Elephas maximus indicus: one gene and its partner. The main gene of each other region encodes a partner of the protein of the gene in region 2 in a complex. Links are inferred from orthologs where the notes say so. Each region holds a gene or a part of one and is shown on either strand. Other genes may lie near its edges. The genes, in order: ALKAL2 and ALK.

What was found.
Region 1: the proteins of ALK (region 2) and ALKAL2 are in contact, whole or in part, in a cryo-EM structure (PDB 9G5I), measured with the Homo sapiens proteins. The link is inferred for Elephas maximus indicus from reciprocal best matches to the Homo sapiens genes ALK and ALKAL2. Residues at the interface, in NP_004295.2 of Homo sapiens: Leu684, Tyr739, His755, Ser758, Leu760, Phe856, His857, Glu859, Leu965, Tyr966, Thr967, Pro968, Leu970, Lys971, Val972, Met973, Glu974, Glu978, Asn980, Val992, Glu994, Cys995, His996, Met997, Phe1007, Asp1009; in NP_001002919.2 of Homo sapiens: Ser112, Lys113, His114, His116, Arg117, Leu118, His120, Asn121, Thr122, Arg123, Asp124, Arg133, Arg136, Leu137, Arg140, Leu141.

What each region holds. Positions count from the first base shown.
Region 1 is NC_064830.1:8,048,757-8,064,377, forward strand, and holds the start of ALKAL2 (ALK and LTK ligand 2), read right to left. Parts: upstream 7,394-15,621; 5' UTR 7,342-7,393; coding exon 7,071-7,341; intron 5,598-7,070; coding exon 5,544-5,597; intron 5,454-5,543; coding exon 5,373-5,453; intron 2,273-5,372; coding exon 2,208-2,272; 3' UTR 2,207-2,207; intron 1-2,206. UniProt on the Homo sapiens protein: Cytokine that acts as a physiological ligand for receptor tyrosine kinases LTK and ALK, leading to their activation. Cytokine-binding is sufficient to activate LTK. In contrast, ALKAL2-driven activation of ALK is coupled with heparin-binding to ALK.
Region 2 is NC_064830.1:49,377,653-49,393,151, forward strand, and holds the start of ALK (ALK tyrosine kinase receptor), read right to left. Parts: upstream 7,531-15,499; coding exon 6,855-7,530; intron 1-6,854. UniProt on the Homo sapiens protein: Neuronal receptor tyrosine kinase that is essentially and transiently expressed in specific regions of the central and peripheral nervous systems and plays an important role in the genesis and differentiation of the nervous system.

The DNA of each region.
Region 1 (15,621 bases), about 41 Mb from region 2:
ACATTGGTGATGCAAGATGGGGAGGTGATGCAAAGGCTTGTAGTGTTAGTTACAATGCCATTCCCCAGTGCAGCATTTACCCTGGATGCCTGATAGGGTACTGCCACCCCCAAAACTAAACCCATTGCTGTCGGGCCGACTCCAACTCACAGCGACTCTACAGGACGGAGGAGAACTGCCCCATGGGGTTTCCAAGGAGCGCTTGCTGGATTCGAACTGCCGACCTTTTGGCTAACAGCTGTAGCACTCAACCACTATGTCACCAGGGTTTCCCAATCTTGGCAGTAACTCCATATTAGCAGAAGTTCCACTGATTACTCTTGCTACTTTAACTAGAGTTATCTGTCTCTCCAGGAAAGACAACTGAGGGGTTGGTCAATTAATTGGCAAAGAAATAGGAAGAATGTAGACAGCACCCATTTTTTGTGGATGTAAAAATAGGGTATACATTTTCTCCCATTTGTAAGTAGACAAAGTTTTATTCCAAGGATGTGCCTGGTCTGTCTCTGGAAGCTGTGGTGACTTAATCATGAGGGAACACTTAACATTCTCATTTTCCCTAGCACCCCACCTTGGGAGATTTACAGGAATCTGCATCCTTTCATTGGTTTTAAAAAAGAAAAAAACGGAAACTTTTCTATGTGCCACGTGAGCAATGGACTAGAAACTGAACAATACTAAGAAACGAAGGCAGGAGATAAATTATACCATTTCTTAGTTTTGACTGGCATTAAAAGCCATGTTTTCATGTCCCTCAAAAAGTTCATAAAAGTTTCATAGAACTTGTATGAAATGTGTCATAGTTATCCATTAACACTTTATAGCTTGGTTCATTCTCCCAATTTCATTCCCCTCATTTACTACTCGTTCTTCTGATGCCGAAGAAAATGGTGTGAAGGATGAGGTTAATCATACCTGCCATGCCTCAAGTCAGCGTTTATTCTTACATGCCTAAGGCAGGGGCCGGGGCTTTGCCTCAACATTCATCCAGTGCTATCTAAATATTTATAAGCATTGCTTTTCTTTTCCACAGTGAGTGTGTGTGTATGAGAGAACTACTCTTTTATCCATTTTACATGAATCAAACTAGAGTAACTGCTAGAGAAATGCAATATAATATCCCCCCCCTTTTTTTTTATTAATAACTTCTGGTTAGCCGATAAGTTTTCTGGGAACCAACCATTAGAGGGCAGGAACCATGTCTTATTTACTGTGGTATATTCAACATCTGGAGTGCCTGCCTGGCAAACACAAGACATACAATAAGTATAAACTTGGCGAAACTGAACTGTTGCTGTCTAAAGTGACTGAATCCCAGGGCATTTATGTCAGGAATATAAAATTATACCTTTTTAGTCCATCTGGCATGGACTGCAGAGCCTATAGTTGGTGTTATACGTTTACAGATCAGCCGTCAACTGGCCCAAGTAAAAATTAATTCCTAAACTCTTGATGTGTGTTGGTATTTTTACTATTAGAGATTATGCCAATATAACTGAAAGAAACATTTAAAGAGGATAGCTATTCTCTATAAGCATACTGGCCTAATGATATAATCAAACTCCAACACATTTAGCAGTTGTATCTATAAAATTTGCATGGATAGGTTAATGTGCTCAATTATGAGTGTGAGTGAGTGAAATCCTAAAAGCGAATGAGGATGGTTTTAAACATGTATGTACTCTAATTTATGCACCAAGCCATGTGCTGGAAGTAGTTAGCTACTGTGCTGTGTTTGCAAATAACACGTAACCCATTGCTGTCGATTCCGACTCATAGAGACCCCATAGGACAGAGTAGATCTACCCCATAGGGTTTCCAAGGCTGTAAATCTTTACAGAAGCAGACTCCCACATCTTTCTCCCACGGAGCAGCCGGTAGGTTCAAACTACTGACCTTTGGGTTGGCAGCCGAGTGCTTCACCACTGCGCCACCAGGGCTTATTAACATATATACTCAGTGCCAATTATATCATTAGATGAAAAAAGCCTAATGGCTACCTGAGGTATGTCTATCGGCCAGGAGCGGGTACCTTTTATTTATGACCAACGTTTTGAGATTTGTTGAGTGTTGCATCAACCTTACTCAAAGTGCTACTTGTGCCAAAGAATAAGTCTTTCTGAACTCCCATGAATTTTCCATGTCCCCAGTGGGATTCCAATCCTTGGTATGTGTGCCCACACAACTGTGCTGTCAAAGAGCTTACCTTATCCTCCCATGCACACTGGACTGACAGCCAACCGGGTCAGAAGCCTGGCACATCTTTTATAGTCTGTCGCGGAAATAAATCACAGACAGACACCTGTCAGTTACCTGAGCAACACTTCCTGATAAAATCAATAACGAGGTTTTTTCTTTTCCTTTTTTTTCTTTTCGCAAGTATATCAGTTATTGAAGCCATTTATTTCTTTAAATATTCTGAGTTTTCTGGAAAACTCATCTGCTGTCAAGGGCTCTAAGTTGATGGACTAGTTTTTGGAACTCCTGGGGCTGCAGCATCACAGGCTGAAGTTAACTAACCTGACTAGGGGTGGAGGGAAGGAAGGGGGGTAAAGGCTGAGTCTACCGCACAGCAGCTCTCTCTGCCCCCTCTCTTCTCTCAGTGGCTATCAGAGCTCACTGAAGTAACATCAGTTTTTCCTAGGACACAAGGAGGTAGGGTCTTTCCATACCTTTGTGGTACCTAACTTGTAGGTCACGTGCAGACTGAGTCCTCACCTGACGTGACCATAACATAAAGCCCTTGGCGTTAAAATTCTAAAGTGGGCCAAAGGGCAAGTAACAGAGCAGAGAGACGTAGACTAGATGACTAAAGGAAGGAATGGGCCAGTTCTGAGAGCAGGCTGATTTTCCTTCGTATATAATTTCCCGTTTGACTATTTTGATAGGTGTTACTGAAAATAAGTGAGGTCTAGCAATCATGGCCATAAGGGAATTTTCTTAGCATGAAATTCTATGGAAGGCTGCAGCAGTTGATAGATTTCTAAAATTTCTCAAGAGCAGCAAAATCCTGCACAAAAATGGAAGAGTTCATACTTTGAACTGAAAATCTTAATGAATGAGTAAATTGACAACTATCAAAAAATGTACACAATACGTCAAACAGATAAGTAGCTAACTCTACTTCTAAAAATCTGCCTTCTAAATATGTAGAGTACAAGTTAGCTTGGGTTCAAGGGAGAAAAATGATCGAGGTCATCTGGACTTCTGGCTTCGTGGCTCTTTTTTATCCACTGCATCACAGTTTTTAGAATAAAATTACCTTAAATAGATCATTTAGCAGGGAGATAGGGGACTATGTAAACCCAAGTGCTGAGCTAATCAAAGAATTGCAACTACTTTCCATCTGCAACATGCCTGGAAATCCTGAGATTGATCACATACTCCCACTAAACACGAATGTTCTCTAAGGCAGTGATTTGCATGCAGGTCATCTGAGAAACTTACTAAAATTCAGATTTTGATTCAGTAGGTCTGGGGCGGGACTTAAAATTCTGCCTTTTTAACAAGGCACCAGTGCTGTTGGTCCTGGGATCCACACTTGAAGTAAGAAGGCCCTGTGGCTCCTTTTCAGCTCTAACATCCCAGGATTCTATGCCTTTCCTTTTGTATAGCCTAAAGCAGTACAGAAGTGGTCTGACTCAGCTCTGCAGCTCCTGATGGCGTAAGGAGAGGTGGAAACCCAGTTAGCAGGCACCCATCTGAGTGTACAGATCTGCCAGGGGTCCACCTCTGCATGGCCCGGGGTGAACTGTCTTCCTTTATGGATGGCCTTGGTATCTATCATGAAGCCAAGTGACCACTCAAAAGAGGTAGCGTACGTGGCACGCAGGGTGATGTATTAGAAAAGGATCGACAGTCAAAACGTGAGGTTGTTCTAGTTTAGCTAAGATCTGTGTGACAGTTTAAACCTTTTTAAGTCGATTTCCTCATCCAAAAATGTAAGGATTAGATGTAATGACCCCTAAGATCGCTTTCAAGTCACAATTTATGACTCTATTATTGTAAGACTGTGTTTCATATAAAAATATATAAACATTTAGTAATAAAAATAAAAAGGTTTTCTGACTCCAGGAAGCAGGTTAATAATTCTCAAGCAGAAGGAGGTTCCACTTTGAAGGAAGGAAATAAGGAAGCCACGGTGTAGTAGGCACATACGGTATGAATAAAAAGGTGAGTCTGAAGCCATGCTGGAAAATTATGGAAGCAAGGCTGCTTAGGAAATGTTTGCAGCTTGCCTTGGAGTTAGAATGGTGTAGTGATAACAGCGTGACCAGATAGGCCTTCATTTGAATGCCACGTGTTCCCGCTTGCTTGTCATGTGGTAGGTTTCACTTAACGTGTGCCAGTGCCATGTGTAAAAGGATAGTAATTTACTGGGCCATTGGGACAATGAATTGATAGGGTGTTTGTGACTGCGACTCGCAAAGTCCCTGGTACATAGTGATGCTCTAGAAATGAGAGCTGTTATGATCTGGATTAATTTCCCTGACTTAAACAGAAAAAAAACAACTACTTCATGGAAATTGGCTTTTTGGGAGGCAGGGCAGGTTAGTCTGATCTGCTGGCCCCCTCTGGATATTCTCTGAAAGTAGTTACTAAGATATCTGGTATACTTGTAAGCCTTTTCTCTGGCCAGTCTTAAAATGAAATACGAGTTTTAGTCCCTATGAGAAAAATTGGTCTGGGGCCCTATAGATACCACTCCAGCTAATAAATCACTCGTTACTGTTGGGCGCAGTGTGACGAGCGTGGTGAGCCCGTTTGGGGGAAATAAAAGGCGTTTTGCTGTGAATAGATGGCCAGAAGGAGCAGGTTGAAGAGAACCACTGGCAGCCAGAAAAGCAGGGTTTTGAAATAGCAATAAAATTCCCAGATGATGATGACGTAACTACTGATGGAAGAAGTCTCTGCTCAGGGTACTGGAGAAGGTCAAGGAAGTCCGACCAGAATGCTTCCGGTTCATCTGCTTTTTTACTCTCCAGACTATAGACTCGGCAGTGGCCATTTTACCAATCCATTCTTAACCTTGTTTATCATACTTCAGCAGATACAAATACAGGCATCATCCAGAATTCATAATCAAAACAAGAATGTGAATTACAGAAGCCTATTCCAAGGCTTGATGAATTCCAATGAATGTAAATAATTTTCCATTTTGTCACAAGTTTTGCTGTAGAATTTACTTATCTTCTTCAGTGGTCTGGATACCCTGGTCCCTAGCTCCATAGTTAAGAAGGAACACATATTAGCAACCACGAATTTCAAAGGAAGGGGCCTATCTAATGAAAGGACATGAAGTATATTTCAGAGAATCACTCGTCTGCCCTGTGCCTATATTTATAAAGGAATTTACAGATGTTGTCACTTACATGCAGGGATGGTGCAGTCTCTGGTGTTGTGATAAAGTCTATGGAAATGTTTGCTGCACTTTGGGCTAAAATAAAGAGGACCTATAACAATGAAGAAGAAAACAGATTATAAGGATTCAGGAAGATGCAAAGGAACTTAGGGAGAGGTGAAGGAATGAAAAGAAAACTTACCTGTAAGATGTTTTAAAAACTTGTCCTTCATCCTTAGATCTCGGGGGACAATTTCTGTTTCCGGGGGAAGAAATTAAAAATGAATTGTCACATTGCCTGAAAGAAGCATTTTTGTTCTCATGTAATCTTTAGCTCATGTTGAAGAAAGTTATTGGGAATTCTGCATTAGCCATATTCTTTGCACTAAATAAAACAGACTGGAGCCACCCTTGATTGTTATGTATGACCTAATGTGAAAACTTGTACTCGAGGACATACTGTTCTTCAAATAGAATGAACTACTCGCAAACTCCAATGTTATCTGTCCAGTCTCTACCATCTGGATACGGGCAGCAATCATAAAGTTACAAGGTGAAGGTTATTTCTGACAGTGAGCTTCCAGTATAAATCACTTTTAGAAACTTTTATCTTGCAGAGCTTGGGAATCAAATCTCAAAACCTCCCTCAAAGTTCTAGGAAGAGAATCTGACCCTTCAAACAAAAAAAATTTTTATAGGATTTACTTTTTCCTGGTATATATTTAGATAAAGGATTAAATGCCTTCAAAACCACCTGTTAAGATGGCTGATGTAAATAAATTGAAATATACATTAACCTTGTTTATAAGATAAGCATACATTTCCCAGGAAAAGACTCTTCCAAGCAATTCTCCTTTTAAAGCATCTTTTTTTTGGCACTTGTAAACAGTGGTTTCACAGACATTCCTTCTGGTCTCAGCCTTTGTGCTTTGTTTATTACAGTCATCTTTAATCATCTTCACTTATCTGTTCTGCACTGATAACTTAGCGATGATGGTATGTGATGCCACACTTTATTTATCTTCCTACAAATCCTTAGCTCCTTCCCACATCTCATCTGAAGGAACGTTTCCCTTAGAATCCTGCTCACTCGCAAGGTCTAGATACCTCTCTGATGTCAGTCTTCATTTACTCCTAACTTTAGTCATTCTCTATAAAATTGACCCTATCATATTTGACCTAATTGTGTCATGAAAAGCATTAAAGCTTACATGCTTTCTTCAGAAATTTCCCATGGGGCAGTCACTCTGGGAAAGGCTCTACCGAAGGGGGAGAACTCTGAAACATTTCTCTTTCAGCTGCAACTGCTTTGCTGAAAATATTTCCATTTCCAAAATAACAGATGACAGACAGTTCTATGCAGAAGTTACTGCCATTGGTAACAATTCATACATCTTAGAAGTGGGTTAGTTAGGATTGTCTGTGAGGCAGCTGTACGTAAATCTTACTATTTTCCGTTTCTTTGTAAAAATATTTCCGAGTTTTGTTTCTGTTCTTTTAACAATCGGAATTGATTTCTCTTTTTAAAATGTGTTTTCTCAAAGACACGTCTACTTTCAACCAGATACAAATCTTCTAGTGCCTTCTTTGGTATGAAAGTTAGATAAACACAGTCAAGATCGAAGCTGTTAAAAGTAGTCCATGGTTATATGTGTCTGTGAGCGTGTGTGTGTGTTGGGAGGGGTGGGGGAGACTTGACATAAATAACGTAAAGGAGGGGCCGACTTACCAACTCTTTGCTCCTCAGGATAAACTCCGTAGTCAGTGACCTCCCTACGGCCCAAAGTATAGTCATGTTTGCTGAAAAATTGCAATCTCTTGTATTCCCCCAAGTGGTATTTTTTAAGTTCTTGAATGATCTCCATGATGAGGTTTAAGAGAGTCTGTCTGTCTGTGATTTCTCGAGATTCTGTTCTCCCTCGGCACGGTCCCACCGTCACCAGCAAGAACACCAGCGCCAGGAGGACAGGACGCCTCGGTCCACTCATGTCAGTTTGCATAGGGTCAGGATGGTGCGTTAAGTTAGGAATGAAGCAGGAAAAAAAAAATCCAACACCCTCTCCGGGATCTTTGTTTACTGAAAGAAAGGGGTGGGGGGAGACAGGGAAAGAAAGTCAGGGTTGTTGGGGGAGGGGAGAATACACTCAGTGAAACGCTCTGGGCTGGAGAACCCGGGAGAGAAAAGGGGCCAGATCCCCGCTTATACTGCGATCAGACCCGGCCACCTGGCGCTGGAACGACCGGTTTACGCAGTCCTCCAGGCGCCCCTCCGCGCTCGGCACTCCCGGAGCGCGGCTCTCCCCAACCCCGCCTCACTGCTCCGGGCGAGCCTGGGAGCCTCCAGCGCCCCGAGGAAGGGCACCCCTCCCGGCCCCGGGGCCGCACCGGGGCGCTGCGGGGCGACTCCGCGCTGAGGCGCGCGGCCCAGGTGAGGCGGGAGCGCAGAGCCAGCACTGCTCCACCGCGACCCCCGCCCGGAGAACCCGCTCCACTGCGGGAAACGCGCTACCTGCGGCTGCGATTTTAAACTTCGGCCTCTCTCTCGCCCCTTTAACGCCCTGGCTGCCAGGACTCTTCCCCCGTTTGCCACTCTCCCAGTGTCCCATCGACTCCGGGCGAGCCCTCTGAACTTTTCGTATGAATTATCCTGTCCGATCCTGTATCACAGCATATCAACGGAACCTTCTATTATTATTATTAAAAAAAATGATCCTCTGGGCGGCTTGTCTGTCTGTGGGGTGAACACTTTAAAGTTGTTTGACCCCTTTTCTGCTTCCCTTACCTCAAAAAAAAAAAAAAAAAAGAAAAAAGAAAAGAAAGCACATGCAGTTTAGTGATCCTGCGCCCAGTTTGGGCTCCTGCAAATAAGTTTCTAAATCAATGCCTTTTTTTTTGGCCCGGTTGGGTCGCCGTCCGGGGACCTGCAGTGGCGACCGCGCCCTGGCGGAGCCCCTCCGGCGGCCCCGACTCGGTCCCGAGGCGGAGGAGGCACCGCGCGCCCCGAGCGCTCCGCGGGGAGCCGGCGCCGTGCAGGGCACCCAGGTACCGGGAACCCCGGGAGCGGGCAGGGAGGCTACCGCGTCCCCCACCCCAGGCGCCCTGGCCCCGGCCCTGTCGGCGACCGCCAGTTCTCGAACCCCGGGCAGGCGACGGAGGGGACGCCGGCCGCGACGCTCTGCGAAGGACGGCCAGGGCCACTCGTCTGTCGGTGCGGGGCCAGGCGGCGGGCGCGGGGTGCGGGACGCGAGCCCCGGCCTGGGAGTTACCTGCCTCCGCGCCCTCGGAGCCGCCGACGTCTGTCCCGACGTCTGGGCACTGTCCCCGCCGGCCCGGAGCCGCCGCGCGCCCACTACTCCATGGCCCCGGCGCCTCGGCTTATATAGCTTATAGGATGCGCGGGAGCCGCGGTGCCCGGTGACTCGGCCAACTCGGGGAGGCTGGAGAAGCACAGGCGCCCGCGCGGCCGCCTTCCGAGGGCGCGCTGCGGCCCGAGTGTCCCGGGCAGCTCCTCGCCGCGGGCCAGCTCCGCCGCCTCTTATTCCCGCGCCTGCACACGTAGGGCGCGGGTCCCCCGGGGCTGCAGGAGCCGGAGTCTTTAATTAGAAGCGCGTTAAGAAGCCGCTGAAATATTCATACCCTTTTGTGTGGATCTTCGTCAGACCCCCCCCCGCCCCAATCTCTCCCTCTCCCCAGCCCCCCCTTTCTCTCTCTCAGTCTATTTCCCTCCGTTCCTGTCACTTGTGACAGGATGAGAAGAAACGCCTTTACCAGGAACTTGGATCTGTTTTTGTCTAAATGTAGATCTTGGGGCTATTAAAAAAAGGAGCGGCTGCTTGATTGCCTCGACATTTAATAAGTCAATTAAAGTCTATCTATTTTGGAGGGATCAGATGGTGTCGCTGGGGAACTACTCTAAGGACGCCGAGACGGTCTGCACCGTCCTAAGCCCCGTCCCTGGGCGAGTGCCCCCTCCCCAAGGCCGCTCTTCAAAGAGGGGTGGGGGCAGCAACGAGGGTCAGTGGGCTTGAACAGAGGCCAAGGGAAAACACAGTAAAAAGTGCAGGAAGCTTGCGGCTGCAACAGCTACCTGACAGAGGTATGTGCAGGCGCCCCCTTCCTCCCCGCCCTACATCCTCTTAGGAGAACGTATGTTACCTGTGGCTGCGTGAAAACAACGCACGCGACTGCTTTGTAGAACCCCCAGACATCGGTCCCTTTTGGAGACTATACTGTCCCAACCTGCCCTGCCTTTTTGCATGTTAATCCTTATTTTAAATTCTCCAGCAGACTGACCGTTCTCTCCCCTCCCCTCTGAACAGTCTGCAGGAGAGAAATCTCTGACAGATCCCTCCTTGGGGCACTTGCTTCCAGGGCTAAGTAATAAAGTTTTGGCTCTTTGACTGTAGGCAGACACAGCTGTGAGAATTGAACAATTTACCTCCTTTAATTTTTTTTTCTTGTAAAATGTATTACCAATCAATTGAGCACTTTCCCATTTTATTGGCACTTTCTGGGCAAGAGCTGGATGCCCTCCAAGAAAGCGGATCTAATTGGGAGAGGTGTTCTCAGTACAGTACCAGAAAGGGAGAGTATGGGCCAGAATTAAAAGCCCTCGCCTTTGACAGGGGTGGTGGCACAAAGGCAAAGACGCTAAAGATGTTGCCCGTGTTTATGTGTGCATGGACTAAATAGTTCATTGACACAGGACAGACTTTTAGATGGCTAAATTTTCCAATAGCTCTCCCTGTTTTCTCTCTCTTCTCTTCCCTCTCATTTCCTCTCTCTCTCCTTCCCTTCATGCTGTTTCCTTTTGAAGAGAATGTATTTGGTGGATTGGGGTTGGGGTCGGTAGAGTAGAGATGGAAGATATTAAAATGTGATCATTTAAACCCCCCTCTATTTTGGTATGGGTTTATATCCTGCTCTCTTGAAAGCAACCCGTTTTGCTTTCCCAGTAAACATTTTTTTCAACCAATATGACTAAAATGTGACAGCTTCTGTTAAAATATACGCAAGAAAAATACAAATTCATATCAAATAGATCTTACCCAACAAATAGATCTTAGGCAGATGAAATATATTTTTCCTTTCCCCGTTTTCTCCTTTCTGTATAGAAAAAGAAATGGAAGCTCCTTTTGCAAGAGCGCCGCCTAGTGGCAAACGCTTGCCTCCTGCTAATACCGTTCCCAGGTCTCAGTCGGCTGCCATCTTTTAGCCTGGCCCCTGTAGGGCGCACAACTTCAGTTTCCAGTATAACAGAAGCATGTTTTAAATATTTTGGTATAAGACTGTATTTGGGGAAAAGATCTTGCTCTGGTGAAAAAAGCAAACAAATTAGACCAATCCCATGTTATTTTAAATTTGCTTAGAATCTTTGATTTCTAATAGTGTTTTACTAAACCAAAACTAGATTTATTTAAAAAAATACCAATAAGATATATCCCTCCCACCCAAAGTTCCACCAACCAAGAAAGTGTTGCCAGTCACTAGTATTACTCCTTTTTTTTTCTTTTGCAGTTTTTAATGGGACAAATGGATTCTTTCTGAATAAATCTCAGGTCTCCTTTCCACTGCTCAATTGTATATGCCAGCACTTCAGCCTAACTCATTAGATACTTTCATGCATAAATGATGAGGACAGAATTGGTCCTTGGTTGGTGTTTGGATTCATGAGACCTGGCAGTTAAGAGTCAGACAATTCATGTGTCGATCCATTCATCTTTGCAAAGGTCTGGGTGGAAATGACCCCAGGTACTTCTCATTTTATGTAAAAGAAAATTTATGGACTTTTTCAACTTGCCCAATTAATGGAAGAGTGCACCGTTTTATAAATCTGTGCCAGAGTTTTCAGTTTTTGGTATTTTCGGGGTGAATTCCTTGGAGTTTTCCAAATGCCATAAATGTATGGATTGCGTGAGTTGTTAACACGGCCTGATTAACTTAATTGTTTGGCTTTGCTGGTTAAGACAAAGGAAAGCACGTACAAGTATACGTGAAGATGTGGATTTGTGTATGATAAATCACTTAGTCTTCAGTTTCTTTTTGTGTAAAATGAAATGGTTGGACTAGACAGCCTCCAAAGTCTAAAACTGTGTAATTCTATGATTGTTGCCAGAAAAAAGTTTGAAAACAATAAAATACAATGTTTCCCACAAAAAGTTCAAGATAATTCACTTGAGACCGTCAATGTGAGTTTCACCATCTGTTTTCAGGCAAGAAGAGGTGATATGTTCAAATTAAGTAATTTAATTTCCTCCTTTAGTAAGTGTGCAATTTCTACTGTAAGGGTCTAAAAGCCAAAAAAGATAAGAGAGAACATTAAGCAACAAACTACATGCTAGGACTACTGGGGGAAAAAAAATATTTTGCTGGATTTGATTCAGTTTTGCATCCTTCTTGAGAAAACTGTATAGCGTCACAGGAAAAAAATTAACTGGGACGAGGCAGGAGGGGTTAAATCGTGTTTTTTCTACTTTTACTGTACATCTGTGTCATGAAATGAGCAAGTTACTTTTTCAATTTATCAACAGTATAAAGCTCCAACATTTCAACTGCAACCATTTTTCTCTTTTCCCAATAAGGTATATATGTTTTATGTGAGATGAATAATCACTGTCAAAGTCTTCTAAAATAGACACATATTAACTATTCAATGGATCGGTGTATTTGTTCAACTATTATGTTAAATCATTTAACAATCTAACTAAACACTTATTAAAGAGAAAAATCATTGTCTTTTATAAAGGATAACTAGGTGGTCTAAAGAAATACTATTCAAGATTAAACTTTTACCAATTCTGTTATATTTACTGTCAATATCTTATTAGTATGCTAGCCATGTACCAGAATAGGTTTAAAATATTTAGGAAGACAAGCTCTCTAACAGACCAGTCTTTCTAGAATAAATGTAACAAATGTAATGCCGTATAAGTAATAACATACACATGATATCTAGCAGTCAGTCCTGCTGTTAGGTGCCATCCAGTTGATTCTGACTCATAGCGGCTCCATGTACAACAAAATGAGACACTGCCCAGTCATGCTCTGTCCTCACAATCATTGCTGTGTTTGAGCCCATTGCTGCAGCCACTGTGTCAATCCGTCTCATTGATGGTCTTCCTCTTTTTTGCTAACTCTGTGCTTTACCAAGCATAATGTCTTTTGCCAGGAACCGGTCCCTCCTGATAACATGTCCAAAGTATGTGAAAGGAAGTCTCACCGTCCTTGCTTCTAATGAGCATTCTGGCTATACTTCTTCCAACACAGATTTGTTAGTTCTTCTGGCAGTTCATGGTGTATATTCAATATTCTTTACCAGCACCATAATTCAAGGCATCAATTCTTCCGAAATACAGTGTCCAGCTTAATTCTTCCCTCATTTATAGAGGAAGCAAACTATTCTAATGTTAGTAGGTCACTCATTCTCTTCCCATTCCTTGACACACGCTCTCATGCAAAACCGCATCACAGCATGTGTTCAGAAGTGATGTGATCCAAAGGCTTTGGATAAGGTCTTCACATACTCTATAGCATGATTAATTTATTGTGGCTCTGTTATTATTATTTTTTTTTGTCCTATGGCCAAGCCTAAGAGCATTATTCATAGGGCAAAAGCTTAAGGGGAAGTATAGGCTTTGTCTTATTTGTTCAAAGTGGTTTAGTTATAAAATCCAACCAGAGGGGAAATCTCAAGGCACTTGGACATTTATTTACTCTTACCGACTCATCAATCAAGCACCTTTTTGATGGCAACAGAGAGAATAAATTTGAATGTGCACACCCGTCATCAATATGTTAAAAAAAATTAAGAAGGTTCTCCTATGTACTGAAAAGCCTGTCTCAAATCTATGAACAGTCAGATCCATCCATGGGAATATCTGAACCAAATGTAATCATGCATGTTGAGGAACAACACTACTATGCCTACAGTCCATCTGTTTTCTGGGTATTTTTCTGCAGGAGATTCCATACCCTGATAGAAAATTTTACACGTTATGTTCTGGGCCTATGCAGGTATTTCCAAAATTCCCTAAAGGTGCCGTATACCAAAGATAGTCACTAACAAAGTAGTATTTTTTTTTTTTTAGAGCAAGTTAATCACTCTAACAAATAATCTATAAATTTTAGTGGCTTAATAATATAAAGATTGATTTTTCTCTAGTTATAGTCTAAAACATGATGAGGGGCTGCTTCATGAAGTCATTCAAGCTCTACCCTTCCTAAGGACCTATGAGTTCTTCACTGGATCCTTGGCGTTTGGCTTGAGAGGGAGGGAAGAGACAAAGTGTGTAAGATTGAGTGGGAAGTGTTATGAGCCATGCCTGGAGGTGGCTAACATCACTTCCTTCAACAGTCTATTGGTGAATACTCTTTAGTGAAACAATTCCAGGCTATTCTTTCACAATGGGTGGGTTCAAAGTCAATATGAATAAGAGGAATGTGCTTTCAGAAAACTTATACTTGTTATGGCGTTTTCTTTTTCTTTAAGCAATTCGAGAAAAATTAGTACTCAATTCCTGAACCCTGGCCAAGGTTTGGAGCCCTGTTGGTACAGTGGTTAAGAGCTGGACCAAAAGGTCTGCAGTTTGAAACCACCAGCTGCTCCTTGGAAACCCTATGGGGCAGTTCTACTCTGTCCTATAGGGTTGCTATGAGTTGGAATCGACTTGATGGCAATGGATTTGGTTTTGGCCAAGATTTGGGGGCACTGTATACCAACAGATAATTTTCATGCAAAAGAGACTATTGATCATTTTCCGTAGTGTTCTTTCCCCTCCCCCCATCTCCACTCATAAAGTAGTAGGAGTACCTGTAACTCAGGATAGAAAGGAGTTCAGCAACACTTCCTTACATCTCTGGAGCAACTCCCAGTTTCAGAATTTATGATTTAGTCATATTGATGTATTAACAAGTTCTTGCCTACAGGACTTTTACTACTCTTTTTCCTGGCACATCTTTCTTTCCTTCCTTCTACTCCCTGATTTCATTGACTAACTCCTACTCACCTTTGTTCTCAGATGAGATACCGTATCTTCTGGGAAATCCTCCCTGTCTTTCATAAACCCAGAGTTGGTGCTCCCATTACTTCCTGTGCTTATTTCTACCATAGCATTAATTTCATTTATTCCTTTTAGCTTTTAGCATATCCTAGTGTATGGATAAACCCTGGTGGCGTAGTGGGTAAGTGCCACGGCTGCTAATCAAAGGGTTGGCAGTTCAAATCCTCCAGGCGCTCCTTGGGAACTCTGTGGAGCAGTTCTACTCTGTCCTATACGGTCGCTATGAGTCGAAATCGACTCTACAGCACTGTTTTTTTTTTTTTTTTTTTTGTGTATGGATTCATTTTTTTTAGTGTATGGATTCAATTGTGTCCCGCAAAAATGTGTGTCAACTTGGTTAGGCTATGATTCCTGGTATTGTGTGGTTGTCCACCATTTTGTGATCTGATGTGATTATTCTATGTGTTGTAAATCCTAACATCTAAGACGTTAATGAGGGACGGTTAGAGGCAGTTATGTTAATGAGGCAGGACTGAATCTATGGGATTAGGCTGTATTTCAAGTCAATCTCTTTTGAGATATAAAAGAGAAGCTTGAGCAGAGAGGAGAGAGACTTCATACCACCAAGAAAGAAGTGCTGGGAGTGGAGCATGTCCTTCGGACCTGGGGTCCCTGCACTGAGAAGCTCCTAGACCAGGGGAAGATCGATGACCAGGACCTTTCCCCAGAACTGACAGAGAGAAAGCCTTCCCAGGGAGCTGGTGCCCTGATTTCAGACTTCTAGCCTCCTAAACTGTGAGAGAATAAATTTCTCTTTGTTAAAGCCATCCACTTGTGGTATTTCTGTTATAGCAGTGCTAGATAACTCCAGGAATTGACAGAATATCAATAGAGATGGTTCAACAGATGGATGCAGCACTGGAAGTGCTCATTGTCTGTGCCAAGAAATTTGGAAGACAGCTACCTGGCCAACTGACTGGAAGAAATCCATATTTATGCCTATTCCCAAGAAAGGTAATCCAACAAAATGTGGAAATTATAGAACAATATCATTAATATCACATGCAAGCAAAATTTTGCTAAAGATCATTCAAAAATGGCTGCATCGGTATATCGACAGGGAACTGCCAGAAAATCAGGCCGGTTTCAGAAGAGGACATGGAACCAGGGATATCATTGCTGGTGTCAGATGGATCCTGGCTGAAAGCAGAGAATACCAGAAGGATGTTTACCTGTGTTTTATTGCCTATGCAAAGGCATTCGACTGTGTGGATCATAACA
Region 2 (15,499 bases):
TCCAGAAATCCAGCTTACCAAATAGGATACTGGGATCCCTCCCACTACCCCTCCCCCTCACCACCAGACAGCACTGTTATCAGCTCCTCTCTCGCACCTTGGCCTGTGTGAAAGAACTCAGGTCATCACTAGGTTAAGAAACACTGACTCCACCCTAGACTGGAGGACAGCACAATGGTTCTAAGGAAGAGGGCATCCACAGGACTCTTTGATAGCTTTATTCTCAACTCTCTACATGTGACTTCTGGACCTACAACCATCCTCCAACACTCCCTATACTTCATCTTTTCCTAAGCAGAGATGATATTCACGTGCATCCTTTGAAAGTAACGGCTTAGCAATAGCTCATAAAAACCACTACCTACAAAATGCTGTGTGGATGCTTAACAGGTTTTGGCATTTTCCTGAGGCAGCCTCCCACTCAAGTCCCCGGGTTATATGTCTCCATGGATTCTCAAAGCTATACTGCTCTTGATGGGCTCGTGTCAATTACCCAGGTAGTACTTTATATTTCTCTCCATGCCCTCCACTTGACAATTAATGGTGAAGACTGGAAATGTGAGGGAAGGGTACAACTTCAGCTAATTACAATAAAAGAGTTACCAGAGGCCAGAAGACCAGCACCTCTCTGAACGCAGAGGGGCTTGGATTGGACAGATGTCTTGGATTGAATTGTGTCCCCCCAAAATATCTGTCAATTAGCTAGGTCATGATCCCCAGTACTGTGTGATTGTCCACCATTTTGTCATCTGATGTGATTTTCCTATGTGTTGTAAATCCTATCTCTATGATGTTAATGAGATGGGATTAGCAGCATTTATGTAGATTCAACCTATAAGATTAATCTACAATTTAAGCCAATCTCCTTTGAGATATAAAAAAGAGAAGTGAATAGAGAGACAGGGAGACCTCATACCACCAAGAAAGCAATAGCGGGAGCAGAGCATGTCCTTTGGACCTGGGGTTCCTGTGCAGAGAAGCTCCTAATCCAGGAGAAGATTGATGACAAGAACCTTCCCCCAGAGCTGACAGAGAAAGCCTTCCCCTAAAGCTAGCACCCTGAATTTGTGCTTCTAGCCTTCTGGACTGTGAGAGAATAAATTTCTCTTTGTAAAAGCCATCCACTTGCAGTACTTCGGTTATAGCAGCACTAGATGACTAAGACAACAGATAACTCTCAAACTCTCAGTTAAGGAAGAGCCACTATCTGAAAACTACTCTTCTGTGGTGCCTATATCTCACTCTTCCCCAATATTAGCTTTCATACTTTCATAAAGTTGAGGCTTGGCTTCTTTCTGGAGGAAAAAAAAATTGGATTTTGAGTATGTTATTTGAATCTTTGGACTGAATACAAGATCAAAAGACCTACAAGAGGATACTAGTTGATGGAAATGAAGTAAACACCACACTTCAATCCTCCTTCTCATCCACATTTCTGGAAATGACAGGCCTCCCATGGTAAGACAATAGAAACTATTACCCTGGTCACACTCATCATTTTTCACTGATCCATCTATCATCTCTTGGAAGTTAGAAGTTAGTTTCATGGGAAACCCACAGTATTCTAACTGCTGCTATGAGCGTTATGGCACCATTCACATAGACTAAAATGTATATGGAACTCTTGGAGTTGTAGAGTATGTAACCAGCCTAACCATATCCAGAAGTCCTGAGTGTTGCTGCTACTAGAAAAACACATAATGGTTCATAGTAATGGAACACTTTATTATGCGTCAGGCAGTAGGCTCAGCATTTAATCTTCAAATAACACCTTGAAATAGAAATTTTTACTATCCCCATTTTTCTCATGATGAAACTGGGCCTCAAAGATCTTAAAGAACCTTTCCAAGACTATGGCAACTGCCCGCCAAATATTTGTTGGATGTCCTTCTGACAAGGATAATGTGAAGTTTTTATCTATTTAAAAGCTTGTTGGTTGTTTGTAATATGCACCTTGAGATAATTCCCTTAGTGAAAAGAGCCCTAATTTGAAGGCAAGGAGAACTGCAGTCCTAGTCAGTACCTAGGACAGTATTTGGAATCTCTTAACCTCTCAATACATAAATGAAAGTTTCTAGGTTATCAAACATCTGGGTTCCAGTTAATCCATTTGTAAAATAAATCAAATACATCCCTGCCTACTGCATAGCCTTGATAAAAATAACAAATGTGAGAGTGCTTTATAAATTGTAAAGTCCCATACAACTGTAATAGAATACTAATAATGGTTATAACATAAGGCAAAATGTCCTTTACAAGTCAAACCGGAAAAGTTTCTATGAAGTGAGGTTATCTGGCAGTAATCCTAAGGACAGCAGGGCACCTCAACTTCTGCTGACTCACCCCTCACTCTCTTCTCTTCCCACCCACAGTATACTCCCTCCTAACCTTCAGCAGACCAACTTCTTTATGGAGACATTTATTTTTATTAATGGTAATGCTCTCCTTCCATACTCCACACCACATACCCAAAACCCACATGGATCTTATTTTTCTTTTGTAAATTTGTGAAATGTTCAATTGGATGTGATTGAAGTTCTTCTTTCAGATGTCAGTATCCATTCTCATCATGTCAAAGGGTTTTCAGGCAGGCAGCGTGTGTCTGCCAAATCTAGAACTGATCAATATAGAACTAAATACTTCACTGCCATCTTATCAAGACCCAAGTCACCTTCTGCCCCACCCAATGATTCGATGCTACACATGCCTATAGATGTATCTTAGATACATAATGCTCTGGTAAGTGTGCCTGCCCATAGGATATACAGATGACATAAAGCACCCCAGAGAAATACTATATGTTTTTAATCAAAGTATTTTGATGAGTGGGGGGAGTAAACATAGTAATTTCAAAATATTTTTTTCACTAACAATCTTCTTGTAAGCTCTTCCCAACACCTTCAAAGATAATCCACAATTCTTTTCTTTTCCCCCTGGAAACACCAAAGCCTCTCAGGAATTATATCTCAAAAGATCCTGATTCCTGCTGCTGTTCCCCATCCCAGCTCTCCTGTCAGTTGTGTCTTCTCAACATTCCAAAATACAGAGCTGATTAATTATGAATGCTGTGGCTTGTCTGACCCACATCTTACCTTACTCCCTGCTCCCTTGGAATTCTTTTCCATAGTCAGAGGAATATCAATTTCTGAAAATAAGAAGGTTTTCCTGATATCTAACCCGAAGTTTCCTTCTACAAGTCTCATCCTATTACTTCCATGGACCACACTAAATAACTCCTCTCCTTCATTGCCACTCTCCCTCTTCAGAGATTTGCAGATTGTTACCATGGCTTTCCCTTTATCACCACTTAGCCCAGCCATATATATTTAATTATTTTCATCTATCATCATAAATCAGTCCCTTCAACTCTTAAATCAGCTTTCTGCTCTTCTCTGGACTAGTTCCAACTCACCCAATTCACCTCCAATAAATGATATCTCTTTTGGGAGCTCCAATTTCCCCTCTATTTTCCCTTGCTCTCTCCACCTTCTCCAGAAATGAAATGAGAAGGGACTGACAGATATGTGAGGTCAAGGGTCAGGTGTACTGCATTGCACACATCTATTCTAAATAGCTCAGGCCTCCCCATAGTACACGTAAAGCCCAAAGCCATATATTCCTTTTCCTGGAGTGGAGAAGGGGGTGTGCTTACAAGGAAAGAGCCCATACTATCCCACAGTTCATCATCCTCCAGACCTCTGCCTGGGGTATGGGAGAAGCAAGAACTCAAAATACTTACAAAACAGAATACAAACCAGAGATACAGGCAATGTGTTAACCTCAAGACAGATGTTATTTCCTGTGATTTGAGCTGTCCCAGGAGGGCATATCACCATTCATACAGTCCTAGAAACTGCCTCTCTACCTCTTCGTCATGAATGGATACTTTGGGGAACACTGATCCCACTTATGAATTCAAAGTAACCCACAAAGAAAAATCATTAGCACATCATGTATTATAATGCCTCTCCGACATCTTTTTGTCCTCTCAGAGAGCCCAAACCACATGTAACACAAAGGTATTGATTTGCCCTAACTGGATGCTTTTCCACTTTTACCACATCCCTAGTCATTGTTCTGCTCAGGTTTAGGAAGCTATCTTCAGCCTTTCCCAGGCCCCTCACCAAAAGGGATGACAGGACAACTATGTCTTCCACTCTCCTGCCCACGAATAGCTCCATCAGCATGATCATACACCTCTAGGCCAGACCACCAGTCATTTGAGCAGAAACATAGCTGAAGATCCCATGTCACGGAAGAGTTAAATATCTTTTCTATAAATCAGGGCCTATATAAAGAATAAATCCATTTTCCTAAACATGATAAATAGAAAAATCAATCCAAGTGGCAAGACCTAAGCTTGAATTTTCATACAAGAAAATTAATAAGATCACAATGATATATGTTTCTCCAAATGAGAAACATGATACAGCAGGGTGTGTCTACTTCATGGGGAAGACTGCACTGGAGACTGTATTTGGATAAGGCTAGGGTGGCAGTGGTAGTAAGGCATAAGACCAGTCTTCCATGGCCAGCTGCCTAGCTGCATGCAGCTTATGTGCTCAGAGACAGGGAAGTCCATTCTGTTCCAAGTGTGATCACCTCGAGGCCCAAAGTGTTTTTCAATAAGCTTCCTGTCTCTCTAGAGGTCATGGGAAGTTCATCCAGTTACACTTAGTGTCTTATTTGATCTCATCAATAATCATTTGATCCCCATCCTGTTGAAAAACACTTGGCCAAAATTTCCAGCCTTTTAATGGCAGAATCCTGGCTCTTTCTGAAACCAGTCCTACTAGATGTGTCAAATGATGCATAAGGGCTTGGTCCAGCTGCCAAATAGACTGTACTGCTGAGAGAAGGCTTGGGATGATCACAGTGCTTCTCTACTGCCAGTAGTGGAGCAGCTCTTGGGGTGTGCTCCTTTCTACATGAAACACCCCCGATCAGCTGCTCCAAATCCTTATCTAAGACTTGACTGGAGTATATTCTTCAAATGCATTAAGCAGTGACTCTTCAGAGATGCCCACTGATAACTTCATGCAGAGCTTGGCTGTTTATTGTAGGCAAGTTTAGGGTTGCAGAAAGGACCACTGTTGCCTTTCACCAGCATCTGGCAACAGTTGACATAGGTTGCTGAGGCTTATGGTCATTTATCAGGGGATGATGGGGGAAGGTCCAGTGATGCTCACAGACATGAATGTGAAAGGAAACCTACATTTCCAGAGAAGTCATTTTTATACCCATTACAAAAACATTGGGAACAAAAAGAGAATGTTTTATTATAAACCACAGAAGCCACAATGACATTAAAGCCCATCTGTTCTTTGCAAAGCTATTCTTGATAAGACAACAGTATTGGTCTCCCACCTCAGTCCATAGAAGGAACTAGCAAACTCATCAGACCTTGTCTCTTACTCTTACTATGAACTACATAAATTTCAGCACTGGCCAACAAAGGGTCATTTTAGGTGCCAATGCCATTAATGCTAATGGTGAAATATGCATCCATATTGTTTTCCTTAAATACCACATGCCCCTATGTTTTCCGTGTAATGACTATGAAACCTCAGCTTCTGAATATCCCTGCTGCATGAGAGCATCGGGTGTGTGGGGGAGTTTCTGTGTGTGTCAGGACAAGCATGGGAGATACTTGTAGCTCTACAATGGGCATTTTTCAATGCTTTCCATCCAATTAATGTTAGACATTAGTAACCCGTGGAGCATAAAAATTTCATTTATTTCTGACGATAAGAATGATAGAAAAGAAACTGGATTTGCTCAATGGAATTAGTGCAGGTTTTTAAAATGCATGATTTCTTTTTTGTGCTTTCCTCACCATTTACATTGTATATTTTATTCACAAGTCTTTCCCCAGTGATCTTACAAGAGAAACATCCATTCAAAACCACTTGGTCTTCCAGTCAAAGGATACTCTGGGACGAGTTAGAAGTACGTACTTGCACCAACTCCTGCAACTCGATAAATACGAGAAGAAAATGAGGGAGTAATGAAACAGAAACCTCATTTCAGGAGTCTTCAGCAGAGAGCTCTGCAGTGAAACAGGGCTGCCAGAGACTGTCATCGAGAGCTACTGCTGCAGACGTTTAAGGTAAGAATACACAGGAAAAGAGGAAGGTGGGGAAAGAAAGGCTGGAAAACTAACTATTGTCTCTCCCTGGTCCACAGTAACTCCCCCAAAGACAATCTTGTCAATTTTCCTCTCTCTCTGCACATCTCCTTCCTCTGAGGCTCTCCCAATGACATCGGAGAGAAAGAATGAAAGTTCGAGAGCAGATAGTAGGCAGGAGAGTGGGGTAATGAATTAATAAAGAAGAGGTAATCCTTGGAAAAGCCAACATTTTGGGGGACAGTTGGACAGGATTCAATAATATGGCCAGAAATTCTATATTCCCTGAGAAACTGTACTGCATTCCCAAAATCTGTGGTGACAGGGGGAGAAAGAAGGGCAATAGTTTTGAGACACAGAACTAAGCTTGGAACCTTAGAACTAATAGCAATATGTCAACCGTCCCAGGGGCCCAGGAGGAAGGGCATCCAATTTTGGCTCTGACCATGTGTAAGTGGGTAGAAGGAGGCATTCTGCCAAGAGCAGGAAACTCCCCCCCCCCCCCCGCCAACTTGGTTTCTAAAGAGAAAGGAAGGCCTTTGGGAAGTGACGGCATTTAGGGAGAAAACAAGAAAATATGGTGGAACAGGGGAAAGAGGTTTGTAGAAAGAGGAAAGAGGGGTAAAAACCAAAGGCTTGGATTGGAAACGAGGGTTTGTTAATAGTGATTGCAAATTGGTGTGACTAAAAAACCAAATCCCGGCACCCTCAGGCGGGAGCTGCTCACCGGTCTCAATGATCTGGAAGAGAAGGCGGGGCTGGGAGGCGCGGATCGCAGCGGACAGTCTTCCCTCTCTGCCCACTTCCAACGCCTTCTTCTCGGGCATCAGGCGGATTCTCAGCCGCCCTTCGCCGTGGAGAATCCACCAGTTGAACAGCTCGCTGAGGTTGAACTGGAGCAGTCCCTCAGCCCCCTCCTCTGGGAGCCCTACGCACCCCTCAATAATTGTCTCCTCGCCCAGCTCCAGCACCAGCTGCTTGGCTCGCCGGAGTTTACGCACCGAGCCGCCCTTCAGCACCCTGGACAGTGTCCGGGCTGGAGCCGGGGAGCCCGCGCCTGCAGTCCAGGATATCCCGGGCGGCCGCCCCAGAAGCCTAACTAGAGGGGCGCAGTCTAGAGCCAGCGAGCCGCGCGCCTCAGGCCGTCCAGCCCTCATTTCTGAGAGGAAAGACGGTGGCAGCAGCAGGTCTCTGGCGTAGACGCGGAAAAGCGAGGGCACAACGAAGTCCACCGCCAGGCTCTTCCTCTGCAGGCGAGAATAGCTGAGCGGCTCCCGGGGCTGCAGTGGCGGCCCCACGGCGAGTGAGCCCGCAAACTGGCTAGTCCCGGTCCCGGAGCTTGAGGCCGCCGCAAACACCGGCTTCAGGGGCAGCAGCAGCCACAGGAACCCAATGGCACCCATCCCGCCAAAAGGAAGCTGTTTATATTTGTCTCCCGACTCTCCCTCGCCCAGACCAGTCCTTCAATTCCCCCCAAGTGGGAAGAGTCTCACAAGAGCCCTTGGCCCTGAACGGCTTCTTCCACCTACCTCTGAGGGATTGGGCGTGCACTGGACCCTCTCTCTCACTTTTCCCCAACTTCAAGGATGCAAGCAAGAATCTGAGGGAAATGGGGCTGGCAGCTCAGAGGGGGTTCCAGAAACCCTGAAGCGCGCTGAGCTCAGCAACTAGGACCTTGTGTCGCGCCCCCGTCTGTAGCTCGCTGTGCTCCAAATGAGAGAAACTACGAAGGTTCGAAGGCAGGCGGCAATTGGGTACCGTCCTCTCCTGCCCCCAGGGGCCGGAACCGGGTTCCGTCCGCTCTCCTGCCGGCTTCCAATCCTCCGCAACTTTCCGGAGCTGGTGCCCGCTCTCCTGGCCGCCTCCTGAGTACCCCTCGGCTCCTCAGCGCTCCTTTCCCCTCCTCTGGGCGGGAATCGAGGGCAAAGCTGCCTTCTAGCTCACCCTCATCTGACCTTCCGCAACGGGAAGCCTTCGGACTGCATGCCCGGTGAACTTCTGGGCTTGAGTGGGAGCCCTAGCGCCGCGGAGCCGAGGCTCAGGTCACCGCCGCGCAAGTTTGCAGCGTCCTCGTTCGGTTCCTCGGAGTTCGCACCGAGGCGGCCCCGGCGGCAGCAGCTGAATGAAAGCATTCAGCGCAGGGGAGTCCGAATTGCTGCCCCCTCCTCACCCATCGCCAGGCTCCGCGGCTTTGGGTGGCCTGCCAGAAGGCGGCCGGAAGGCGCTTTGATGCCCCGCGACCCTCAGGAAAGCGGCAGCGGGAGGTATCAGCTGCTGGGGCCGCTGCCTCCCCCGGAGCCGCTGGATCGCATCTGCCTGGCTGCCCGCCACTTGCAGCTGGCGGGGCCGCGAGCGCGCGCCTGGAGGGGGCGGGGCCGCGGCGGGGGCGGGTCTCGTTGGCCAACTCCGCGCCACTGCCCGGCCCGCGCCGGCCCGCTCCGCCCCGTCCGCGCCCGTCGGCCAATGGCACTTCCAGACCAGCTCCTATGCAAATCTGTAGCACTCATTGAGAAAAGCACAGAGCCCGCCCCTCCCTTCCTTTCTCCCTTCCTCCCTTTCCCCTCCCTTCTCCCTTCTCTTCCTCCAGATTCCCTGCCCTATTTCTCTGTTGTGTGAACAGTCAGGGGGTGTGATTTGGACAAATGGGAGGACTGGAAAAGGCCTTTGCAAACAAGCGCTCTCCCTAATTATGCATTTGGGAGATTAAATGGTTCCGACTTCAAAAAAGCAGGTTCCGGAATAAAACTGGAGGCGAAGGGAAGGGAGAGGGGAGGGGTGACAGCGCGACGTTGCCAAATCCAAGAACAGCTTGGATTAGGTCCCTGAGACAGAATCTTCTTTGACCCTTTCATTATTTGAATGCACCTTCCACACAGGAAAAGTCTGCAGATTGAGGGGTGGGGGAGGTGGAGGTGGCGCGGGTCTTACAGTTAGTTGTTCTTCAGTTACAACAAATAAATTTCAGAGCTTCAGTCAGACGCTCTCCCCCCGTCCCCGCCCCCCGCCCCCCCCCGCTTTTTCTCGCAAAGGTGCCACCTCCTCTAGTCCCTGCAAGATAAATATTTTTAATGCTGTCTTTACAAATGCGAAAACTGAGTGGCAGTGAACTTGATTGATTTTCCCTGAGTCACGGAGCCATGTGTGGCTCCCAGCCTCTCACTCGTGTGCTCTTAACCACTGCTCTCCCATTCCCCTCCATGAGCAGTTCTGCCACACTCCTCCACAGTCCCCTCAAGGAAGACCTAGGGGCGAATTTGCTGGAAGGAGGAAAGGCCAGGTGCTCTCACAGCCTTGGGAGTGAGAGTTCAGAATCCCAGACTTTTTGACGTACTGTGAAATACCTCTGATCTCTTTTCCCTCCCTCTATCCCAAGCTGCCAACACAGGACACAGACAATGGCTGTGTTTAAAACAAGAGGTTCACTAGAACCATAAGCAAGACTGCAATCTTTGGTTCACACGAATCCCTCCGTTCCTCACAAAGGTTCATTCCAGGAGTGGTACCAACAGTCAGAGCTCAAAATGAGGCAAGATACTCCTTCCACGAGTTCACAGCCTGGCAGGCAGTAGAGGAGCCTCCTCATAGAATCACTGGGCTTCGGAAGGGGACAGTGACTTGACCAGGGCCCTACAGGAGGTGGCGGCCAAGCAGAGCCTCTGCTGTCCCAGGTGGGTTTTTCTCAGCATGGTGGCATTGACTTTTGGCAACTGGAAGATCTAATAACAAAAAGAATACCAGTTCTCAGAATGACTTGTTTATGGCTCTATGTTTGGCAACTAGCTTAATTTGACAGGCATCTGGCCTTTTCCTGGAACTAAGACTGGGTACACTGATTTTACAAGCTTAAGGGCAAAGAATTATCTGACCCAAGGAGAAAGTACTAAAATATAGGCCCTTTTGTCTCCCACCCCACTCATCTCTTAATTATATAATTCTACCCCCAAGCAAAATAAGGAGTATTTTTCAGGATTTATAAATCCTCAGCTGCAATCAATGGCCACTAGGGGGCTGCAGAGACTTGCAACTCCAAATGAGCCACCAGGTTTAACAGTTCCCTGATGATGTCCCTGAGCTTTGCACCTCATGGACTCAAGGGACTCCATGAATCCTTCCACTTCTATAAATTCTGTCAAACTTTCTCAACGAAGAGACAGATGCTTTTCCCTGTAGATTAACTCATACTCAATCTAAAAGGTTTTGCTTACCTTTTTGTTAGATAATTTTAAAAAGGAGGCAGAGATGAACATTTATAGAATCTATCAGGCTCCATACATATGCATCTGTAAGTATGTATGTGTGTGTGTGTTACAGTGACCTTTTGGGACAAGAGCAGCCCAGAGAAGTTTCCTCAAGTCAATTCCAACTCATGGTAACCTCATGTGTGTCAGAGTAGAACTGTGCTCCATAAGGGTTTTCAGTGGCTGCTTTTTTTTCAGAAGTAGATCTTCAGGACTTTCTTCCTAGGCAGCTGGGTTACCTTATACCATTGCCATCTAGAGGACAAGAGACAGCACAGTGGAATAAAAAGCAAACGGGGGAAATGGAGTGAGAAAGATCAAGTGTGGGCAACTATAGCTAGCATGTCTTTGTACATACTATGTGCCAGCATATTTTAAATAATTCTTGTGCATTATTGGATTAATATTCACAGTAACCCTACAAGGTGACATAATATTGTTATCTTCATTTTACGGATCAGTAATTGAAGCTCATAGAGGGCAAATGCCCAATAGCAAGGATGCATAAGTAATAAGAGTTACAGCCATGATTTGAACTCACATATCTGACTAAGAAGCCCATCACCTTAAACTCCTAATGACCTTTGCTCTGAATGAAAATGGAGTATGATTGAGCAGGCTGAGAAGGACAGAGGTGAACAGAGGAAGAAACCGAAAGAGCGATATGGAGGGAGATGCACAGAGTCAGACACAGAAGGTACTGGAAGCCCTGTGGAGACAGTTGAGTGAAGTGGACTGGGTAACCCTATAAATGACTTAGGCAGCTAAATTGGGGGCAGGGGAAAATGGCTAGACCTCATACTGGGAGAAGAACAGCCAAGGAGGGCATTGAAGCCACCAAAACCCTCCTCAGGAAATTCCTAATTTCTGGAAAGGGGGAAGTGAACCACTCAAGCAAAGAGGATGGGTTTGAATTCTTCTCTATAAGGGGAGCAGTAATAAAAATGGCATTTCAAATCCAGGCAATGTGACTACAGACAAAACGTGACTGACACCTTTAAGGCTAATTAAGTCAGGCACTCACTTGATCAATAAACATTTCTTCAGTACCTACTATATACAGGATGCTGTTCTAAGCTACAGGAATAATGCTATGAACAAGAAAAAGACTGCCTAACCTCTAGAGAGTTACATTACAATGGGTGGGAGATAGACAATAAACATTCAAATATGTTTACCTAAGATAGTCAGAGAAGGCCTCTTTGAGAAGGTGAAATTTGAGTTAAATTTTGATTGGTGGAAAGGAGGCAATCATGCAAAGATCTGGATATAGCATTCCACACAAAGGAACAACAAGTGCAAAGACCCTGAGGTGGGAATATGTTTTTTCTCCCAGGGGACTGCAAGGTCAATATGGCTGGAGCACAGTGAATGCTAGAGTTGAAGAGGTCTAGATCATTTAGGGTTGCATAGGCCATTGTAAAGAGTTTGAATTTTATTTTGCTTGCAATGGGAAGACACTAGATAATTTAATGGAGAAGTCACATGGTCTGATTTATGCTTTAGACCCTTTCTGTCCAATATGGTAGTCATTAGTCACATGTGGCTATTGAGCCCTTAAATTGTGACTAGTCCAAATTGAAATGTGCTGTAAGCATAAAAAACACACCAGATTTCAAAGAAGTAGCATGAAAAAATATACAAAATGCCTCATTCATCATTTTTCATATTGATTACATGTTGAAATGATAATACTTGGATATACTGGGTTAAATAAAATATATTATTAAATTGATTTTACTGATTTCTTTTTTAATGTAACTACTAGAAATATTGTTTGTATTATTTGTTCAGCATACAGATTAAATAGGTATGGTGAAAAAATACAACCCTGGTGTATGCTGAACAAATAACACGAGAAGCTGGACTATATGAAGAAGAACGGGGCATCAGGATTGGAGGAAGACTCATTAACAACCTGCGTTATGCAGATGACACAACTTTACTTGCTGAAAGTGAAGATGACTTGAAGCACTTACTAATAAAGATTAAAGACCACAGCCTTCAGTATGGATCACACCTCAACATAAAGAAAACAAAAATCCTCACAACTGGACCACTGAGCAACATCATGATAAACGGAGAAAAGATTGGAGTTGTCAAGGATTTCATTTTACTTGGATCCACAATCAACAGCCAGGAAGCAGCAGTCAAGAAATCAAAAGACACATTGCATTGGGTAAATCTGCTGCAAAGGACCTCTTGTAAGTGTTGAAGAGCAAAGATGTCACCTTGAAGACTAAGGTGCGCTTGACCCAAGCCATGGTATTTTTAATCACATCATATGCATGTGAAAGCTGGACAATGAATAAGGAAGACCAAAGAACAGTTGACGCCTTTGAATTGTGGTGTTGTCAAAGAATATTGAATATACCATGGACTGCCAAAAGAACGAACAAATCTGTCTTGGAAGAAGTGCGGCTAGAATGCTCCTTAGAAGCAAGGATGGCGAGACTGCGTCTTACATACTTCGGACATGTTGTCAGGAGGGATCAGTCCCATGAGAAGGACATTATGCTTGGCAAAGTATAGGGTCAGCGGAAAAGAGGAAGACCCTCAATGAGGTGGATTGACACAGTGGCCGGAACAATGAGCTCAAGCATAACAACGATTTTAAGGATGGCGCAAGACCGGGCAGTGTTTTGTTCTGTTGTGCGTAGGGTTGCTATGAGTCGGAACCAACTCAACGGCACCTAACAACAACAACACTAGAAATATTGTTCATATTATATTTCTATTGGACAATGCCTGGTCTTGGGCAAGGATTTAACCTCTTGGGCCTTATCCTTCAGCTGTACAGTGGATTATAACCTCTTTCTGACAAAGTTGATGTGAGGATTAAATACGATAGCACATGAGAAATTTCCTTCCCAGAGCCTGACATCTGATAAGTCCTTGCCAAGGTAAAAGAAGAAGCAATTATGATCAAATTTCAAAAATGAGGGTCAGGATTGGAATGTGTTCTGGCTGAGGAAACCATGTGCTATATGGACCTGACAGGGACCAGGCTGACTAAGGCTTTCTGGCTACCTTGGCATGAATAGATTAAACTGGGAGTGATCTGGAAAATAAATCTGAGGTTCCCAGGCATCACAGAGAGACAGAAAGAGGAGACACATAAGACATAATGGTGGAAAGAGGAAAAACAAAACAAGATTTCTTTAGAAAGGATGTCTCTAGTCATATATACATTATACTCTAATAATCCTCATGCTGAAAGGAAAGTACTTAAATTTATTAAATATTAATTCAGTCATTACTTACTAGACCTGGTGGTGCAGTGGTTCAGAAATTAGCTGCTAACTGTTTACAATAGCAAAAAGCTGGAAGCAACCAAGGTGTCCATCAATGGATCAATGGATAAATAAATTATGGTATATTCACACAATGGAATACTACGTATTGATAAAGAACAGTGATGAATCTGTGAAACATTTCATAACATGGAGGAACCTGGAAGACATTATGCTGAGTGAAATTAGTCAGATGCAAAAGGACAAATATTGTATAAGACCACTATTATAAGATCTTGAGAAATAGTATAAACTGAGAAGAACACATACCTTTGTGGTTACGAGGGGGGGAGGAAGGGAGGGTGGGAGAGGGTTACTTACTGATTAGTTAGTAGATAAGAACTACTTTAGGTGAAGGGAAGGGCAATACTCAGTACACGGAAGGTCAGCTCAACTGGACTGGACCAAAAGCAAAGAAGTCTCTGGGATAAACTGAATGCTTCGGAGATCAGCAGAGCAAGGGCGGGGGTTTGGGGACTATGGCTTAACGGGACTTCTAAGTCAATTGGCAAAATAATTCTATGATGAAAACATTCTGCATCCCACTTTGAAGTGTAACATCTGGGGTCTTAAAAGCTAACAAGCGGCCATCTAAGATGCACCAATCGGTCTCAACCCACCTGGATCAAAGAAGAATGAAGAACACGAAGGTCACACGAGAACTATGAGTCCCAGAGACAGAAAGGGCCACATAAACCAGAGACTTACATCATTCTGAGTCCAGAAGAACTAGATGGTGCCCGGCCACAACTGATGAGTGTCCTGACAGGGAGCACAACAGAGAACCCCTGAGGGAGCAGGAGAACAGTGGGATGCAGACCCCAAATTCTCATAAAAAGACCAGACTTAATGGTATAACTGAGACTAGAAGAATCCCGGCGGTCATGGTCCCCAAACCTTCTGTTGGCCCAGGACAGGAACCATTCCTGAAGACAACTCATCAGACATGGAAGGGACTGGACAATGGGCAGGAGAGAGATGCTGATGAAGAGTGAGCTACTTGTATCAGGTGGACACTTGAGACTGTGTTGGCATCTCCTGTCTGGAGGGGAGATGGGAGGGTAGAGAGGGTTAGAAACTGGCAAAACCGTCACGAAAGGAGAGACTGGAAGGAGGGGGCAGGCTGACTCATTAGGGAGAGAGTAAGTGGCAGTATGGAGTAAGGTGTATATAAGCTTATATGTGACAGACTGACTTGACTTGTAAACTTTCACTTAAAGCACAATAAAAATTATTTAAGAAAAAAAAAAGGTAAATAACTGGGAGCTCCCAAAAGTCAAACACGTATGCTCATCCAAAGGCTTCACCAAAAGAATAAAGAGACTACCTACAGATTGGGAAAAAGTTTTTAGCTATGACATTTCTGATCAGCGCCTGATCTCTAAAATCTACATGATATTGCAAAAACTCAACGGCAAAAAGACAAATCACCCAATTAAAAAATGGGCAAAAGATATGAATAGACACTTCACTAAAGAAAACATTCAGGTAGCTAACAGATATATGAGGAAATGTTCGTGATCATTAGCCATTAGAGAAATGCAGATCAAAACTACAATGAGATTTCATCTCATTCCAACAAGGCTGGCATTAATCCAAAAAACACAAAATAAGAAATGGTGGAGAGGCTGTGGAGAGATTGGAACACTTATACACTGCTGGTGGGAATGTCAAATGGTACAACCACTTTGGAAATCAATTTGGTGCTTCCTTAAAAAGCTAGAAATAGAACTGCCATACAATCCAGCAATCCCACTCCTTGGAATATATCCTAGAAAAATAAGAGCCTTTACACGAACGGATATACACACATCCATATTTATTGCAGCACTGTTTACAAT